Linked DNA regions of Oryzias latipes. The protein of the gene in region 1 purifies or fractionates together with the protein of each later gene. This does not show direct contact. Links are inferred from orthologs where the notes say so. Each region holds a gene or a part of one and is shown in the gene's direction. Other genes may lie near its edges.

Region 1 (5,835 bases):
AGCTTCCTGCGCCGGTCTATTCTGATGCATCCATTTGTAGACGACTAGATCCATATGCGTCTTCATCTTCCTCGTCCAAGCTAAATTTCTAATGAACTACTTACTCCCTGCAGAAAATATGTCCCAAAAAACGACACCGGTTTCGGGGATTTTGCTTAAAAACGGCATAATCATAATTCAAAGACCACTGGGAACGCTTTTCGAACAAATCAAAAGATGATCAGAGTGGCTGTTTTAAACAATTCTTGAAAACTCTTCAGTGAAGCTGAAGTTAATGCATATTTCTGAGAATAACAGCTATAACCACTGCACTTTATTATATTTGCAGTACTATTTAAAGCTTTAAAAAAGTGCTGCTAATGTAATTTCAATTTACAAAAGTATAAAATACAAATAAATGTTTCCAACTTGAATGAATCCCAGTAATATCAGATAAAACAAATACACCCCTTCTCTGTTTATTGTTTTTAAACTTATTCACAAGCTTATCTATGACTCTAGTTCAATGTGTCAATCAATCCATATATTAATAGTGATGAAAACATATAAAAAGAATATGCCAATGGAGAATAAGTAGAAATAGCATAGAAGTGGAATATAAATGCAATTTTAAACTGATTTATTTTTTCTTGGTTGGATTTTTACAAACAAATCTTAGATTTTAGAATAGAGCTAAAAAGTAAATGTGTCAATTTAAAATCTGAATGTTTACATTATGGAGAAATCCATCCTTTTTATCGAAGAAAACAAGTGGGAAAAAAGGCATTAAATACAGATACATAATGTATACATTACATTAAAAAAATAAAATTAAATGAGATATATTAGATAAATTTAATTACAAAAATACATTAAACACCCATTATTATATACACGTAATGTTCCTTACGGAACAATGGTTTAAAAGTGCGAAGAAAAAACCAAAACAGAGGGTTGATAGCATCGTTGCTAATGTTATGAACCGACCTGCTAGCAGCCCTTCGTGCGGCGGCCTGCCAATCAGTCTCTCGAATTTATTCAGCTGATCTGAACAGTGAAACCTTTCGGCGTCCGACATCGTGTCCCCTTCACAACCCTGTCCTCTTCGATGTCACGTCGAATATAAAACACGTCTGCCAAAACGCTGCTGAAACATTTCACATCTCAGGCAGGTTTGAAGCCATTCACTGTTTTTCTTTCCACCCCGGCAGTGACACACTTGACCAATCGCTGAGCTTGTTACCAGGACGTTGCGTCTTCAGGAAAACGGAACTGCCGCCATATTTTATTTTATTTTATTTTATTTTATTTTATTTTATTTTATTTTATTTTATTTTATTTTATTTTATTTTATTTTATTTTATTTTATTTTATTTTATTTTATTTTATTGAATGTAGACGTAAACTTATAATTTAAAAATATGTATAAAAAATGAAGAAATATAAAAATGCAAATACAATTATTAAATTAATTTGTAGTAAATTAATCAAATTAGAAATAATTTAATGTTTTTACTGAATAAAAACATTTAATTTATTTAGCATATATTATTTTAATAAATTCATACATAAATGTAAACATATATAGTGTTTGAATTTAAACACTCACACTTTAAATTGCAAACACTCACACTAAGTCTTTAAATGTAAACACTAAATTTAAATTTTAATACTCAAACGTCGTTACATTTAAATTAGATCTAAATTTAAATTAGTTTTATTTTGGTTTTGTTCAACAGTGAGTCACAATTTTAGCGTATTGTGAAAGTTCTGGTAGCTTTTGCTGACAATGTGATCTATGTTCTACAAAAATCATCCACATAAAACGTACCTGTATAATATCATTTATACGTCGTTGAAATATCTAGCGGTCAACTGCATATGACAAAGATTTTACACCAAAAATGTCCTGTTTGTTTACTGCGTTTGTGGCTCTGGTGAAGCGGAACAACTTTTTTCCGGGATGTGTTTCTCTGGGGATTTTTGTCAGAGCCGACCATGGCGAATATCGGCGGCAGTCGCGGGGACCGTCTCGGCAATTCTAACCACCTAAAGTCTTCTTTTGCATCTCCGGAAAAAGTTCGTGAACTCCTCAGCGAAGGAGTATCATTACCGGAGATTGGGTCCAACAGGTGGCGTTTTAAACTACCAGTTTATTTTTTTTTTTGGAAAAATCTAAGTTGACGGTAGCTGACTGGGTTAGCCACGTCTTAGCTTAGCATCTCACCTCGAACGTATTCATAGTTTTGCTGGAGGGGTTTTTCAAGTCTGCACAGAGCTGAGAGTTTGACAAACGAGCCCGAGTTTCTGTACTCATACGGTTGCAATGATGTGGATTAAATAAATTATTCAAAAATGTGTTTTTATAGCCTTATGCTGCAGCTGTTGTTAGCCGGGGTCCAGCAGTTAGTTTGCAGTTATGTATGTATGCTAAAAATAACCACAAGAATCACAGCAACTATTTCCGTCTAGCAAATTGATCAGAAAACATTGTGTACAAAATGGTCCATTGGATATTTTGTGTTTTGTAAAAAGGACTTATGTTTTATGTCTTGTTTCAGTGAACAAGGGGACTTAAAAGTTCTGGAAGTTAAAGACAACACTCAAACACCGTGTGAAGCAACAAACAAAGAAGCATTTTTCTCAAGAGTGGAATCCTATTCTATATCCTTCCTTCATATTATATATTTATTAATGGACAACGTTTATTTTTTGTTTTAAATACATATATACATTGCTTCCATGTGATTTGTTAAAATGCACCGTTTTTTAAACATAATCAAAATACACATTTGTAATTGCTAACACAAGCTGCCTATTATTTAGGGTCCTCTTTTCCTTAATATGTCACTGTTTGAGATGGGCAGGCAAACCCCGTGCACTTTCTCCTCTGATGTGTGCCAGATATGGTTGGATCAATGTTGGTTGTGACATGCTGAAGTGCTCCAGCTGCCAGGCTTTCCTTTGTGCATCACTACAACCAACGTTAGACTTTAAGAAATGTAAGCTCAAACTTGAAGCAATATGGCGACGGTAATGGTGCTGGCCTGCCAAAATGAGATGTCAAGCTGTTCTGTTCTTTTAAATAGATGAAAGCCGCATTGCAGAGATATTGAGACAACTACAGACTCAGCATGAGAAGTTTTGTCCTTGGCCTGACTTTCCATGTCCAGGTAGAAGCAACCATTTTGTCTGGAGCAAACTTACAACAAACATACAATCCACTACTCCGTCTGTTTATTAACCATCAGCATGATGGTCGTAATAAATATAAGTATTTCTGTTTATCCAGAGAGATTCTGGCTTGTTCCAGCCTCTGAACCGTCAACGCTGCTTGCTGCCTTTTTGGAACGTTTCCAGAGTGCCTGTCTCCTTGCTCAGCAGCTGCCAGCCATGAGGCCAGAGCAGCTGAAGTCTATGGTAAAGGGCTTTATTTAAAGAACACTTGTGCCAGCTTAAATTTCAGAAGGACTTAGATAAAAACATCAATTATTATCAAGGGAATGTGATATCATTAAGGGTTCATTAAAGAAATTGCTTTATTAACATATGAACTATTTTTAACAAGACAATAACAGCTATTATTTGTGGTCTTTTTTCCCCCCAGTCTTTGACAGAGGATGTCATCAGTAATATACTGCAACTGATTGAGGAAGAGCTAAAAATAAAGGGATGCAGTCCATGCTCTGAACCATTGTCTGTTCAGGTGGCTGCATGCGTCGTTTCTCTTTGTGGTTGGGCAGCAAGGTGAGAGTTGTTTCAGTAAAAAAGGTGCATTTCTAAAACACAAGGTTATTTGGTGGAATTTGGGTCCAAAATTAAATTTCTTTCATCTTAGTCCAGCTTTACGTGCCATGAACCTGCCAATCCTGACCTGCTCCTATTGCATGCGGAAGGTGGGTTTGTGGAATTTCCACCAGATGGAAGAAATCGGAGGTGAGGCAGAGACGGTACCAAGCTCTGCAGGACCCTCTGCTCATGGAACAGGTTCTGTCTTAGGGGGCTGCAGCGACAGCCAGGCAGACCCTGCCTCGTCCACTCATGCGGCATCTCCATGCCGCATGAAGCTGAGGAGCCAGGACTCCATACGCTCCGACCAGGCAAGCATTCTTGTGTTTGTTGCTCTGTGGTAAGGTTGAGGCTTTTCTATGCCACATTTGCTTCAGTAGACATGACCCTCTTCTCCCGTTTGGAGAAGGATTTTCACAAACTCACTGTTGATGGTGTAGGAAGTGATTACAGAAATTCTACCCTCATTGTCATCTCTAGTTTATTAGAGGATATAATGTAAAGAGCCACAATGAACTGCCTCCCACCATACCAAAACCCTTTTGATCCTTCAACTCCTTTTTATCAGACTTTTTCATATTTTTGTTTTCTGTTGCAGGTTGAGGGGACCTCCTCCTCCCCCACTGCATTACGAGCCAAAAGCAGAGACTCACCCAGCCCCAGTGATGACTTGCTAAGTCCTCTGACGAGGGGCAAGAGGCCTGCAACTCGAAGTCGAGGACATGGAGATAATTCGGGGGCCGACGGCTCCACCAGCCTCCATCCTCCCAAACGCTTGTGCTTCTCAACAGTTGGTGGTCCTGTAAGAACAATCATTACTTCTTAGTTCCTGTCTTGCTTTTGATTTGGATGCTTCATAGTCTTTTTCTATGGTGAATCAGCATTTGTAAGATTTTTGAATTTCAAGATGTTTACTTTAAATGATGAGTTTTAACATGTGACATTTCTCTCTTTCAGGATGGGCCTCTGCATAAGGGCACATTTGACCCTCTTTCTCAGCACAGGGACTGGTGTCCTTGGATCTCTGCAGGACAGGAGAACGTGGATCCAGATCATGCCTCTGTTTTGGATGGAGGAGTAGCGTTGAATCAACAAGGCTGGAAAGCTGCCCTTGACCTTTTCATGCCTTCAAAGAACTCCAGCACACTGAAAGGTAGTCCAGAGCAGGTAAGTTGGCAGTCTTGGTATTTTCTTGTATACTTATTCTATAAATATAGAACTCTTGTTCATATTACTATTTCAAATGTTCTTCTCCAAATAGGGTCCCCGTGACAAGTCTAAGAGAGTGTTTGCAATATTCCGGCAGTGGCAAGTATCTTCCTCTCCACCTTCAGAGAGTGTTAAAATATAAACTCCATTGCCACACTGAACTGATTAACTGATCTCCATTAAATATTTGGTACATACTCCATCTGAGCAAATACCACGAGTCAAATCTCCTACGTCTTTACATGAAGTTATGTTTACAGTCAAAGTCCCTCTTGATGGAAAATAACAAATATCTTCTCTGTGAATTCTCAACAATGTGAAGGATCCCTGTTTGTTTTGGAATGTTTGGGTCTTAGGGCTGCAACATTTCATCATCTCTAGTATAGTATTTTCCATTTCATCATTGGTACTTTGTTTTAAAAACAAAATGAATTTCAGAGAAGATGGGGGGAAAAAAAAGATGTGGGATGAAGAAGAGCCATGTGGCTCTACACTGGAAAGGCAATATTTACCTCTTTTCTGTCTTCAGATGGTTGTCATAGAACAAAACTTTTCTCCCAAGGTTTGGAGAGAAAAAACACCTGGGAAGTTTATTTGTGTGCAAAATATTTTCTTAAAGGTCACATAGATGCAAGCTTTCTTTGTTGTTTTTAATTGTTGTCTGCAGGTAGAACCAAATGCCACAAAAAGGAAATGTTTTTGACTGTTGGATTCTGTGTGAAATGCTCTCCATAAAACTGTTTTTACCTTTCTGCCTGGGATTACTTTATTTTAACTCAAATAAAGAAAGGAAATGTTGGTTTGCATTTAATGACAATGACTTGGAAAATATTAAACTTGACATCTCACTTTATAAAC
Region 2 (6,134 bases), on another chromosome or scaffold:
CAGGAGCAGATGAAAAAAGGCCATTTGAAAAGGAGCCTATTTGTGGGCGGGGCCACAAGCTCTCCGCTCCGCTCCGCTCCAACACTTGTAGACGACTAGATCCATGTACGTCTTTGTTTTCCTTGTCTGAGTTGGCGTCTGGCTCAAAACTTTACGGCTCGATAAAGGACTACAGCTGCTCTGCAGAAACTGTCCTTAAAAAAAAAACACAGCTTTTTAAAATTTAGGCTAAAAACGGCATAATCATAATGAAAAGACCACTGGGAAATCTTTTAAAATAGATCCAAAAAATAATCAGAGTGGTTTTTACACCTACTGTGTTTAGTTTTTAACTACAAATAAAACGCCACCAGGATAAATAGCCTGTTGAATGTGTTTGCGGTCAGAATCGGGAGCTGGCCTGTTCCAGTTCTAACCTGTGATCTCTGTTTCCAGGGTCCCATGTGCGACCTGCTGTGGTCGGACCCTGACGACCGCGGCGGCTGGGGCATCTCTCCTCGAGGAGCAGGCTACACTTTTGGTCAGGACATATCTGAGACCTTCAACCACGCCAACCGCCTCACACTGGTCTCTCGAGCCCACCAGCTGGTCATGGAGGTGTGCATAGTTCAAAAAACCTAACTTTGACCTAACGTTGACTTTTTTTTTTTTTTTTTTACTTTTCATCTGGAAAATGTTTACTATTTTGAGCTTATTAAGACAAACAGTAGAACTTGTGTTAGTTTGTTTTGGATCATTTTCTTCCTGTAAATAACACATCTGCTCTCTTCAGGGTTACAACTGGTGCCATGAGAGGAACGTGGTGACGATATTCAGCGCTCCTAACTACTGTTATCGCTGTGGCAACCAGGCAGCTATTATGGAACTAGATGACACCCTCAAATATTCCTTGTAAGTACATAAATTAAAAACATCAGATGCAATAGTTTAAGGTGGGAATTGTAACTTTTGCACGTCTTAAAATACTTTTCCTTTCGTCCTGCAGCTTGCAGTTTGATCCTGCGCCTCGCAGAGGGGAACCCCATGTAACCCGCCGCACCCCGGACTACTTCCTGTAAACTCTAACATTAGACCCATGCGTACAGTCCAGGCCTAGAATGGCATATACGGCTGAAAATAACTCAAATGTGGAATGGGATCCTGGGACACCGCTCGGAGCATCACAGCAGTGCACATTGTATATCCACACTTAGACCTATTTAAGCATTTTTGTGTCTGTGGGTGGACCAAAGGGTGTGTGTTCCATTACCATTTTAATAATCAGTGCTGACGACTGTACTAAATATCCCCTTTCCTCTTTAAGTCAAGTGTAAATTCCTTCTTTTGTTTGCACGTAGCTGGACTAATGGCACCAATCTCCAAGATTTCATTTTTGGCACTTTGAGTCACACCAGCTTTGGCTTATATTAAGGAAAAATGCGTACGTTCTGTTTGCACTTTTGTAAATTTAAAGAAATGTAAGTTATAAAAAAAACATGAAAGATTCACACTGTTATGTTTTTTTAAATATTGCAAATCAATAAAATTCCCCTAAATCAAGCTATACATAAGGCTTTGTTGTCCTAACTTTTTAGACTGATAAATGCAGTTTGGTTTATAAGATGCTGGATGTTCAATTTCATTCATTCATGAATTCTATATTATGTAATAGGAAATTTCAACAATAAAGATTAAGGTGACATTGATGTTTTTGTTTATTTTATGCTGCTGAAAATATTAAAAAGGTGGCAATTACTTGGGGTGGAGTAAAGTTAAATTGATTTGCGTTTATTATATTGCAAAAATAAATGAAATGAAATAAAGTGGGTCATATAATTGGCTTAGGAAACTGTTCGAATGGACACGTCGAAAGGAACAGGCGCCACCATGCGGTCAAAAGGTGCTAATACACGCAACAAAAATATAGGTCAGACTTGTAAAGGTTTGCATGAATAGCATATTTTTACACTATTATTTCTGATTAAGTCGCATTTTAAAATCTTTATACTAGTAAGTAGTAATCTAAAAGAAGATTTAAGTACAAAAATTTTGATAAAAAAGAAAACCTGGAGTCAAACTGATTTGTTTTATTTTTTTAACATTAAATAATTTTACTAACATTTATTTTAATATAATAATCTATGCTGTTATATTAAACAAAAGCATTAAATAATAATCGCACTACCACAGGCTAAACCGGCAGAGCGGCAGTCCCTCCCTTTGCTCTCTTGTCATGACGGCCTTCCGCCTGTAGGCGGCAGAAGACTCCCCCACCTTCCTGCCATCCAGATACTTCCAACTGCTCTCGGGAGTTACGCGTCTGTAAGGCCCGTTCTGCTAACTACAGGGGAATTTCGCCTCTGAATTTCCGTCAAAAATCACAGTAGGTATCTGTTTTACAGCGAATATATCTTTTTACACGAGTTACGCGTGAGATTTGAGGTCAAACGGTTGCGTGCGTGTGATTTACATAGTCATTTGAAGCGCCTCGATGTAGCTGCTAACTGTCTGTAGCTATGTAGCGTTTAGCTAAGCTGCCTGCATTGTGAAGTAGCACCGAAGTAGCTTAACTGTTAACGTCGTCATATCATTTTTTTCGTGATTAACATTTAATCTTTAACCTTTGTAGTAGAAATAACGTCATTTAAAATAGAACCACGACAACTAAGATGACAAATTTGAACGCGTTCCCGGTTCACGTAAATGTTAGCTTTAGCTAGCTCTTGTATTTACATGCTAACCCCAAGCAGTCAATGCAACAAAAATACATTTTACATTGTTTTTGGGTGAAAACTTTAAAATGATAAGGACTACGTAAACCTGTGTGTAGCATCTGCTTGGCATGTTGGACGTCATTACTCGCTAACCTGAAGTTATATCTGTCGGTGTTAAAATACATTACTTGTTTGTTTTTTTTCTTCAGATTATGCCCACGATAAAGCTGCAGAGCTCTGATGGAGAAATCTTTGAGGTGGACGTTGAGATAGCTAAACAGTCAGTCACCATCAAGACCATGTTAGAAGGTAAGACACAGTGGAATTTGCACAGTTTAAATTAAACCAGTAAGTCTGCTGCCAGCTTTAGTTTTGACTCATTTTTAAATTCATTTGGACAGATTTGGGGATGGACGATGAAGGAGACGACGACCCAGTTCCCCTGCCTAATGTAAATGCCGCCATTCTCAAAAAGGTACAGAAGCAAGGATTTAATTTGTAATGCTCTTGGATCATTTAATTATAATTAACCTGTGGTGATTGAATAATTCTAGCATTGTAAACACTGAGTTAAGTGCTTGCGTTTTAAATACATTTGAGGTTTGTCAAATAAATTATGAATGAAATGAAATTTAAAGTAACCTGCTGCAAATTCTGAGAAGTTTGACCTTTTAACAACTTATCTTTGAATGGGTCTTAATTGACTTAGCTGTTCAGTTTTATGAACTCACAAATGTGATTAGTCAGTTTAAATGGTGAAAGGAATCTCACTGTTCCAGACCTCAGTTTCCTTTTTTCACCTTTTATATTAGCTTCTTTTTACCTTTTCTCACATTTAATTGAAAATTATTTAGAAAAAAAGCATTAAGTAGAAAAAAAACAACACTTTTGAGATGTTCTTTTGAAAATAAGGAAATATTTAAAAAAGATTTCAATATCTGTACAGTTTTTCAGCCGGCTACAGTGCCCTTAAAAAAACCAATTTTTTAAAATGTTGAATAAATGTGAAATAAATGGATGCTAGTTAATCTGACTGTGTCATTATTAGGTGATTCAGTGGTGCACCCATCACAAAGATGACCCCCCTCCTCCTGAAGATGACGAGAACAAAGAGAAGAGGACAGATGATATCCCAGTGTGGGACCAGGAGTTTCTTAAAGTGGACCAGGGCACCTTGTTTGAGCTCATTCTGGTCAGTACATTTCAGATTTAGCACAGTAACCGTCGTTTTGACATAGTTTATTTTAGGGCTGGGTGTCACCAATAATGTCCAGATTCTATTTGATTCTATTACAGTTTACATACTGTAAAATGTGGTAGGTAAATAATAAACCAATGAGGCCGTTAAAACCACACAGTGTTCCATGGTTTCTCAAATGGAGAAGCTCCAACAAAAATGTGCAGATCATTATTTTCTGCCTCTCCTGCATGGTGTTTCTGTTTGTCCACTAGGTGGAGCTCACGCTAGAGCCTTACACCATATTCCAGAAGATTGAGCAAAGAGTTACTTTGAAAAAAATGTTTCCTTAGAAGACTTTGGACATTTCCTTCCTTCCTGTGAGTGTATAAAGCTGTTCATTTAGGCAGTAATGCAAGTTTCAGTCGAACAAGCGTTAGCATAAGTGGTCCTACGGGAAATTCTGTTAGATGTTAGCATCAAACTAGCAGACTTTGGGTTTACTGCTGTTATGGGTTAGGTCACCGGTAAAGGAAAGGCATGAAAGATTGATCTCTAATTTAATGGATCGATTATTGATCCATTAGGCTTGGATCAACGAATCGATATAATCAACCCAGCCATAGTTTATTAATTTAAAAACACGCCTAGTTAAAATGATAAATTCTGTTTGGTCTAATCGTTAAACAAAAAGTACCACTAAAATGCCCTGTTAGCACTTGTTGACTGCTGCACTTGCTGGATGAAAGAGTTCTGGGACTTACATGATTAAAGGAGAAAAGTGTTTTCCTTCCATGTGTGACAAAAGTGTCAGAATAACAGAATGGAAAAATACTTCTGTTTTTTGGTAATACATTTAAATACACCTGGGTACCAAACCTTAGTGTTTTAAATAAGACTACTACTAGTGATGGCAGACACCAGGGATCATTATGTCTAAGACCAAAGTCTAGCTATACCTTCCAGCACTGTTAAGCAGCAAGGATGGTTTTGTTTTTGCTGTCTTCTTGGTCTTCTCAGTAAATTGTGAGGCTGCATCACTGAAATGGTTAACATTAAAAATAGTAAATCAAACCAAAAGTGAAGTATTTTATCAACACAGCCACTTATATTTATAGAAGTTTTCTCAGTTTTGCAGTTGACTTTCTTTTTTGTTAGATTTATTTTTTAAGGTTATTTGTAATAGTTTTTTTATAACTGACTCTTTTGTTTGGGTAACAAATGATTTAAACATTTGTTGCCAGGCAACAGCTGGAAGATGTTTTTTTAATGCCGTTGGGTCGTCAGCGGTCAGAGAGCCGGTAGTGGTTCTCACAAACCAGCCATGTGACGTGATGTGAGAGGTAACCCGAGCAGAACCCAGGAGAGATTGGGAAACGGTTACTGGAAGATCCAGTCATTCCAGGAAGTGAGACACGAGTGACTCCAGAAACCCCCCCCCCCCCACACACACACACACACGCTTATTTTGTTTACAAGCAGAAATGGTTGCTACATTTAACTCAAATGTTGGATTGAAGTTGAAAGAACCATCTGAGTTTTGGGTTTTGAGGTGAGCACTGCTCAGGACAGAGAGCAACTCTTGGGGCAGATGGGGCTGTTTAAATCAGCCCCATGGTATTGATTAAAAACAAAGTCTTCTGTTTTACAAAAGGGGGAAAGAAAATCTTCTTCTTTTTTGGAGTGTAATTTCTAAAAGATTTAGTAAAAGTATTTTTCTTAACTTGAGAGTAACGCTTTACTGACAACTGTCCTTATGGGTGGGTTTAGGCTGTCTGTGGGCAAAATAATAGGGAGGTGGCCCGCAAGAAATTTTAAGGTCTTAGACCACTGGGTGAAAATGTTCATGCCCATTTTTTTTTCTTTTTTAGTAGACATCCTGCGGGTGAAAAATTGTAGCGAAGGCTTAAAAATGCATATGGATGAAGTGGGGTGCAGGCGTGTCATACAGATTTTTCCAGCCCCTCCTAACCCTGATCTCTGCGCAAGATGTCAGTAATGTTCAAGTGATAAATGCTCACTCCTTACAGTGCAGCCTGACTGTGAGAATGTAGGAAATTAGACGACCACTGCATAGTTTGTGTGTACACCTGAACACATGCGGCTTCAGCCTGAGGTTGCTAACGGGTCAGTACTTGCGCCTTACTAACGACTAGACTGTGGTGTAAGGGCACTGTGTTACTGCTTCACCCACTTGAAGTGTGGGCATTTTACACTATCCTTACAAAAACCTCCTGATACATGACAGTGGTACATTCCATTCA
Region 3 (5,821 bases), on another chromosome or scaffold:
GTATGGATTTTTTGAGCACTGCAACTAGAGGAAATTGAGTAAATAAAAGCCTGAACATGGACACTGATATGTGATATTCTCTGAGTGAACCCAAGCATTCCTGTGTGCTCACCTTAATCAAATAAAACTGTCCTTGTTTGGCAGTGTGTTTGTGTTTTTGTTGCATGTAACATCTTTAGCTCAAGTCAAGTCAAATCTGCAAGAAAAGTAAACACACAGCAAGGAATCAGAGTGCAGCAGCATGTAGGGGTGGAGATGGAAATTACAACATTTATAAACGGCTACAACAAAGACAAGTACATGAATTACAAGGCACAAAAGCTTTTGTCCAAAAGATAAAAAAAGGAAAACTTTAGTTAGAAGCTTTGGAGAAGTTTGAAATATTATTCTAGCCCACAGGCAGAGCTCAAATAAAAACATGTGGCTCTTGAATAAGTAATGCTACCTCCAAACTACTGAACTGTATTCCTTTACAACCTCTGATGGTTTATAAACGGTGTGTTTGTAGCCTTAGGATGCACCGGTGCAAGCAAGTCCCCGCAGTCTTCAGGTAAGCATCCCCTCAACAAGCTGTGTTTTGAGTTAGTGTCCCATAACCATTCCCCCTTTACACTCTTAACCCAAATTAATTTACCACAAAATGTTGATCAGCCAGCAACCAGCAATCTATTAACTGGTTACCCCAACTACCATGCAGTGGTGGATAAAGAAAAAAAGAAATGAAAACCTTAGGGGAAAAACAACTTTTTTTTTTTTTTTTAGCTTGGCATGTTGAAACCAAACAGTACAGTCAATATCCAAATGTAAAAAATTGGGAATCTTCATGTATTCTGGAGTTATTATTTAAGTATAGGCATCAACAGGTTAACCATCATGATCAGAAAGTGAAAGTCCTTAATTTCATCATGTTAACATCTTGTCAAATAAACAATAATCTTGGTATCACAAAAACGATGTGACTTTTTTTTAGTGTGGCAAGACAGATTAAACCATTACTGCAGGTTTACTTTCTCATATTGCTTTTGTTACACTATATTTTACTGCTTCTCACCATTTTATGCTTTCCAGCATAAATAATCTTTCAAGTTAAACCCTGAGGCTTTTTTGCTCAAAATCCTTTTTGAATTTCAACCAATCTAGAGTGAAAAATATCCTCCTCACTACCGGCAATAAAAACTTGTCCCCATAGTGGACATTTCTAGACCTGAAAATTATTCAACCACTGCAATTACTGAATGAACTCCTTTTGGTATCTACAGAGGGCATTTGTGGCTTTTCAATGATTACAATGATACACTTAGAATGCCGATAGCACTGTCTGAGAATTTGGTTTGAAACAGTATTTAATGGTTGTTCTAACAGAGTAGAAATTAAAAGAAAACATGAGAAGAAAGCAAACACTCACATGTTTCTCAATTTATGAAAAGTTGAAAGTTTTTCAAGGAAGTGTGGCGCAAGATGAGTGTACACAGTCAGCATGGCAATCAATAAAAATAAAAGTGTATAACCTGAACCAACAATGTCTGTCAATAAAAATCCATCCAAAAAGTGAAAATGACAAATTCATAAAAAACTCATAGTCTAACAAAGATTAAATAAACTTCATATGATCCTCTGCATTCATGTAATATTAGTGTTCAACTAATAACATGAACCTAAATGATCGATATTGGATCAGGAGTGGCCATAATTCGGATAACGCTAATAACAAAACACTTTCGAAATTAAATCCTTTTCCCGACTACATTTCCCATCCGTCTTTCTCGAGGAAACAAAAACAGCCTTTCAGCCAATCAGATTGTTGGAGGCCTTCTACTCTACTCCTGATTGGCTATTTTTGTACACATGTTCCCAAGATGCTTTGCTGTGACGCTGTGGAATTCAAATCTAGCAGACCAATCAACGATCGCCAAAACGACCGAGCCAGCATTTTAAATTTGTACGAGACACTTGTTATCGAAAAGGCAGAACGGGACAAGGCAACCGCTGCCGGGGAAGTCTGCGCAAGAATTCTGCCTCCGGTTTTTTTTTTAATTAATTTATTTAATCTTGGGACCTGTCGGCCTTTAAATGTTAGTCAACGTTTGCGGTTTAGATCGTTTGTTAGTATTTGCTGTAAATTGAGGCGTAGAAAAAGTTAGCTTCGAAGGCTAAACTAACGTCGGTTGAGTTGGAGGGTTAAACAACACTTTAGCCCTTGTTTAATAACTTTTGCGTTTCGACTTCTTTGGAGTTTTATTAACGCGGAAAGAGCACTTTTAAAGTACACCATGAGTGCTGCTATCGCAAAGCCGGCGCAGCCGTCCGGACACGTCGACCCAAAATCGGCTCCTCTGAAAGAAATCCCAGAGGTTTTGGTGGATCCCCGCACCCTGAGGAGATACTCCAAGGGCAGGTTCCTCGGCAAGGGGGGCTTCGCCAAATGCTTCGAAATTACAGACATGGAGACCAAGCAGGTTTTCGCTGGCAAAATAGTGCCCAAGTCGTTGATCCTGAAGCAGCACCAAAGGGAGAAGATGAGCTCGGAAATCTCCATTCACAAGAGCCTCAATCATGCTAACATCGTGGGCTTCCACGGCTTCTTTGAGGACGACGACTTTGTCTATGTGGTCCTGGAGATCTGCAGGAGAAGGGTGAGGATTTTGGGAACTCTAAATGAAAATACATGAAGGCCAACGGTTAACAATGTGGCCTCTTCCGTTACCCCCCCCCCCCCCCCTCCTTTGGCATAGTGCTGGGAGACTCAAATCCCCTGATCACTGCTTTAAATCACTGTTACTTATCCTAAACCAGTAACTTTTTGTAATTTAAAACTATAGAGATATCTAAATTCTTTTTCCCCTTTGTGTTGTTCCACGTGTTGTTTTTAACACTTCTTGAGGTGCCACTTCACTTCATCCAGCTTGTTCATGCTCTCCCAGCCTCCATTTTCCTCCACTGAGTTCAGCCGCTCACCAGAACTGTTGTCCTTTTTCAAGTCCCTGTTGGAGTTGCACAAGCGCAGGAAGGCGGTCACGGAGCCGGAGGCTCGCTACTACATGACCCAGCTGCTGAAAGGGGTCCATTATCTGCACAGCAACAAGGTCATCCACAGAGACCTGAAACTGGGGAACATCTTCCTCAACGACGACATGGAAGTCAAGATAGGTATGGAGAGCAGGAAACCTGTCGGTGTAGTGACAAAGAAACGGGCACACCCATGTTCTTGATATGCTCCCATAACTTCCTTGTTGAGAACTTCCAGCTCCAATTTGTTAACACCCATATTTGGCTTCTTAATATCCTTTACTCAGATTAAACGCTGATCATTTCTTTCTTTCCTTTTTTGCTAGGTGACTTTGGTTTGGCCACAAAGATTGAGTTTGATGGTGAACGGAAGAAGACCTTGTGTGGAACGCCCAACTATATCGCTCCGGAAGTGCTGTGCAAGAAAGGCCACAGCTATGAAGTGGATGTCTGGTCACTTGGGTGCATATTGTAAGTGTGTAAACCCACAGTGGAGTGGGGAAGAGTGTCATTCCACAGGATTCTGGATACTCAACTTCCTTCCTGTATCCTCTCATAGGTACACTTTGTTAGTCGGCAAGCCTCCGTTTGAAACCTCATGCCTGAAAGACACATACAACCGGATCAAGAAGAACAATTACACCATCCCCTGGGTGAGAAGAGCTGACGTTAATCCCTAAATGTACGTAATAGTTGGTGAAAGAAAATCTTAAGTTTACCGTCACTTCACTTGAATGCTGCAGCAAATCAACCCGTCAGCCTCGGCTCTCATCAAGAGGATGCTGCATGCCGATCCTGCCCAGAGGCCCACCATCACTGACCTGCAGACGGATGAGTTCTTCACATCGGGATACGTCCCCCTGCGGCTGCCCACCACTTGTCTCACTGTGCCCCCGCGGTTCTCCATTGCCCCCTCCATGGCTGCAGAGCTCAGCCAGAGGCGCCCCCTGACTGCCATAAACAACAAAGGTAACAAACCCAACAATTGCCCAAAACTGGTGCACTGATAATGAAAGTCTGCAGTTAATCAACAGTGATATTGATGGAGGTTTTTTTTATATATTTTTTTTCTCAGCCGGCACAGAGAAGGTGGACATGAAAGACGAGCCTGCTCCACTGTGAGACATCACACTAAGGTCTAAAACATGCGTCGTAGTTTGATCAAAAATGATAAATGGGAATTTTGTGTGCAGAGAGGCGGAGCCAGAAGAATGTTACCTGAAGGACATGCTGCAGCAGCTCAACAGCATCATCTCTGCCAAGCCTTCAGAGAAGGCGGTCATTCGGCAAGGTGAGAGCAGCCGCCTGCAGGAACTACCTAAACTTTCTGCAGTTTTAGTCAGTCCTTCTTACAGAAAACCCCTTGTCTTTGATTTCAGAGGAAGCAGAGGATCCTGCGTGTATTCCCATCTTTTGGATCAGTAAATGGGTCGACTACTCTGACAAATATGGATTAGGTAAATTCTAAATCTTAGGACAGGTTTGCCTTTTATTGTCTTGCTTTTAATGGAGAATTAAGGGTGTGCTGTAAATTGCTTTCGCAGGATACCAGCTTTGTGACAACAGTGTTGGTGTTCTATTCAACGATTTCACCCGACTCATCATGTATGCTGATGGCGACAGTCTGCAGTACATTGACAAGAAGGCTGCTGAGTCCTATTTAAGCGTTCGCTCATTCCCTGCTTCTCTCAACAAAAAGGTTGGTGGATGAAGCTAATTCTGTTTGTTGCTTTGTTCAGGTAATTCTGAAAGAAGACAGAATAACCTGTCTTCTTTCACGTTATTGTTTTTTTTAGAGCCCTGGATATGACATCAAAAAATGAATTGTTCCCTCAAATTAATAATTTGTGGCCATAAATTATTATTTTGAGCACACAAATACTACATTGCGGACATAAAAATGCTAGTTTTTGTCCACAAAGTTGTATTTTGTGTGCAAAAGGTGTTACGTCATGTAATGTCCAGGGCTCTGTATTTTTTCCTCTGCTAGTAGAGTACCATGAGTATTTTTCCTGTCCTGCAGATTACATTACTGAAATATTTCCGCAACTACATGAGTGAGCATCTCCTGAAAGCTGGTGCCAACATTGCGCGCCGTGAAGGTGATGAACTGGCCCGGCTGCCTTACCTCTGCCTCTGGTTTCGAACCAAGAGCGCCATCATCCTGCACCTCAGCAATGGAACGGTTCAGATCAACTTCTTCCAGGTAAGACGCCATAGTCCATCGCTCGCACCACGAATAGTGACGTTTCCTAATGAATTGCTTGAATGCAATCTGTAATTGTTGTAATCTGTGTTCATCAGGACCACACTAAGCTGATTCTGTGTCCACTGATGGCCGCGGTGACCTACATCAACGAGAAGCGAGACTTCCGCACCTACAAGCTCTCCCTGCTGGAGGAGTTTGGTTGTAGCAAAGAACTAGCCAGTCGCATGCGTTACGCCAAACTCATGGTGGAGAAGCTGCTAGAAACCAAACCAACGCCCGCTGCTCATTAGGTCCCCTGCATGATCGGTCAAATCTGCCTCCCTCAGAGCAGCACCAGTTCATTTTATTTACAGCTTTATTTTAAGACCTTGAAATTCACCACGGACTTCGTTTTTTATTATGAATATGGATTGTCAACCTCTAAAAATGTGTTAATAAAAAGTTTGACTCTTTTAACAAAGCCCTTGGTGCCTCTACTGACATCTGCTGGATCATTGCAGCATAGCAGAACCGGGACAGTCGTCAGTCCTAAGGGCAATCTTGAAAGTTATTTTGTTTACAAGTTACCATAAAGTTGAGCATCGTTTTTAAATATTTTCTGTCTAC

The links. Proteins that work in one complex are often made in the same cells at the same time.
Region 2: the proteins of zc3hc1 (region 1) and skp1 purify together in Homo sapiens (affinity purification with western blotting; 9 studies listed by BioGRID and IntAct, with this or other methods). This does not show direct contact. The link is inferred for Oryzias latipes from reciprocal best matches to the Homo sapiens genes ZC3HC1 and SKP1.
Region 3: the proteins of zc3hc1 (region 1) and plk1 purify together in Homo sapiens (affinity purification with mass spectrometry; 3 studies listed by BioGRID and IntAct, counting the BioPlex papers as one, with this or other methods). This does not show direct contact. The link is inferred for Oryzias latipes from reciprocal best matches to the Homo sapiens genes ZC3HC1 and PLK1.

What each region holds. Positions count from the first base shown.
Region 1 is NC_019881.2:14,717,993-14,723,827, forward strand, and holds zc3hc1 (nuclear-interacting partner of ALK), read left to right. Parts: upstream 1-1,951; 5' UTR 1,952-1,977; coding exon 1,978-2,111; intron 2,112-2,540; coding exon 2,541-2,643; intron 2,644-2,830; coding exon 2,831-2,981; intron 2,982-3,068; coding exon 3,069-3,152; intron 3,153-3,271; coding exon 3,272-3,399; intron 3,400-3,586; coding exon 3,587-3,726; intron 3,727-3,817; coding exon 3,818-4,079; intron 4,080-4,366; coding exon 4,367-4,570; intron 4,571-4,725; coding exon 4,726-4,935; intron 4,936-5,029; coding exon 5,030-5,119; 3' UTR 5,120-5,829; downstream 5,830-5,835. Other genes in the region: klhdc10 (kelch domain-containing protein 10), read right to left, coding at 967-1,057. UniProt on the Homo sapiens protein: Required for proper positioning of a substantial amount of TPR at the nuclear basket (NB) through interaction with TPR.
Region 2 is NC_019872.2:4,049,650-4,055,783, forward strand, and holds the start of skp1 (S-phase kinase-associated protein 1), read left to right. Parts: upstream 1-2,181; 5' UTR 2,182-2,362; intron 2,363-2,902; 5' UTR 2,903-2,905; coding exon 2,906-3,002; intron 3,003-3,094; coding exon 3,095-3,168; intron 3,169-3,741; coding exon 3,742-3,885; intron 3,886-6,134. Other genes in the region: ppp2ca (serine/threonine-protein phosphatase 2A catalytic subunit alpha isoform), read left to right, coding at 436-597, 773-891, 986-1,058. UniProt on the Homo sapiens protein: Essential component of the SCF (SKP1-CUL1-F-box protein) ubiquitin ligase complex, which mediates the ubiquitination of proteins involved in cell cycle progression, signal transduction and transcription.
Region 3 is NC_019859.2:22,725,215-22,731,035, reverse strand, and holds the start of plk1 (serine/threonine-protein kinase PLK1), read left to right. Parts: upstream 1-1,868; 5' UTR 1,869-2,270; coding exon 2,271-2,633; intron 2,634-2,978; coding exon 2,979-3,147; intron 3,148-3,332; coding exon 3,333-3,477; intron 3,478-3,565; coding exon 3,566-3,659; intron 3,660-3,749; coding exon 3,750-3,975; intron 3,976-4,081; coding exon 4,082-4,124; intron 4,125-4,199; coding exon 4,200-4,297; intron 4,298-4,385; coding exon 4,386-4,463; intron 4,464-4,550; coding exon 4,551-4,705; intron 4,706-5,029; coding exon 5,030-5,212; intron 5,213-5,310; coding exon 5,311-5,505; 3' UTR 5,506-5,821. UniProt on the Homo sapiens protein: Serine/threonine-protein kinase that performs several important functions throughout M phase of the cell cycle, including the regulation of centrosome maturation and spindle assembly, the removal of cohesins from chromosome arms, the inactivation of anaphase-promoting complex/cyclosome (APC/C) inhibitors, and the regulation of mitotic exit and cytokinesis.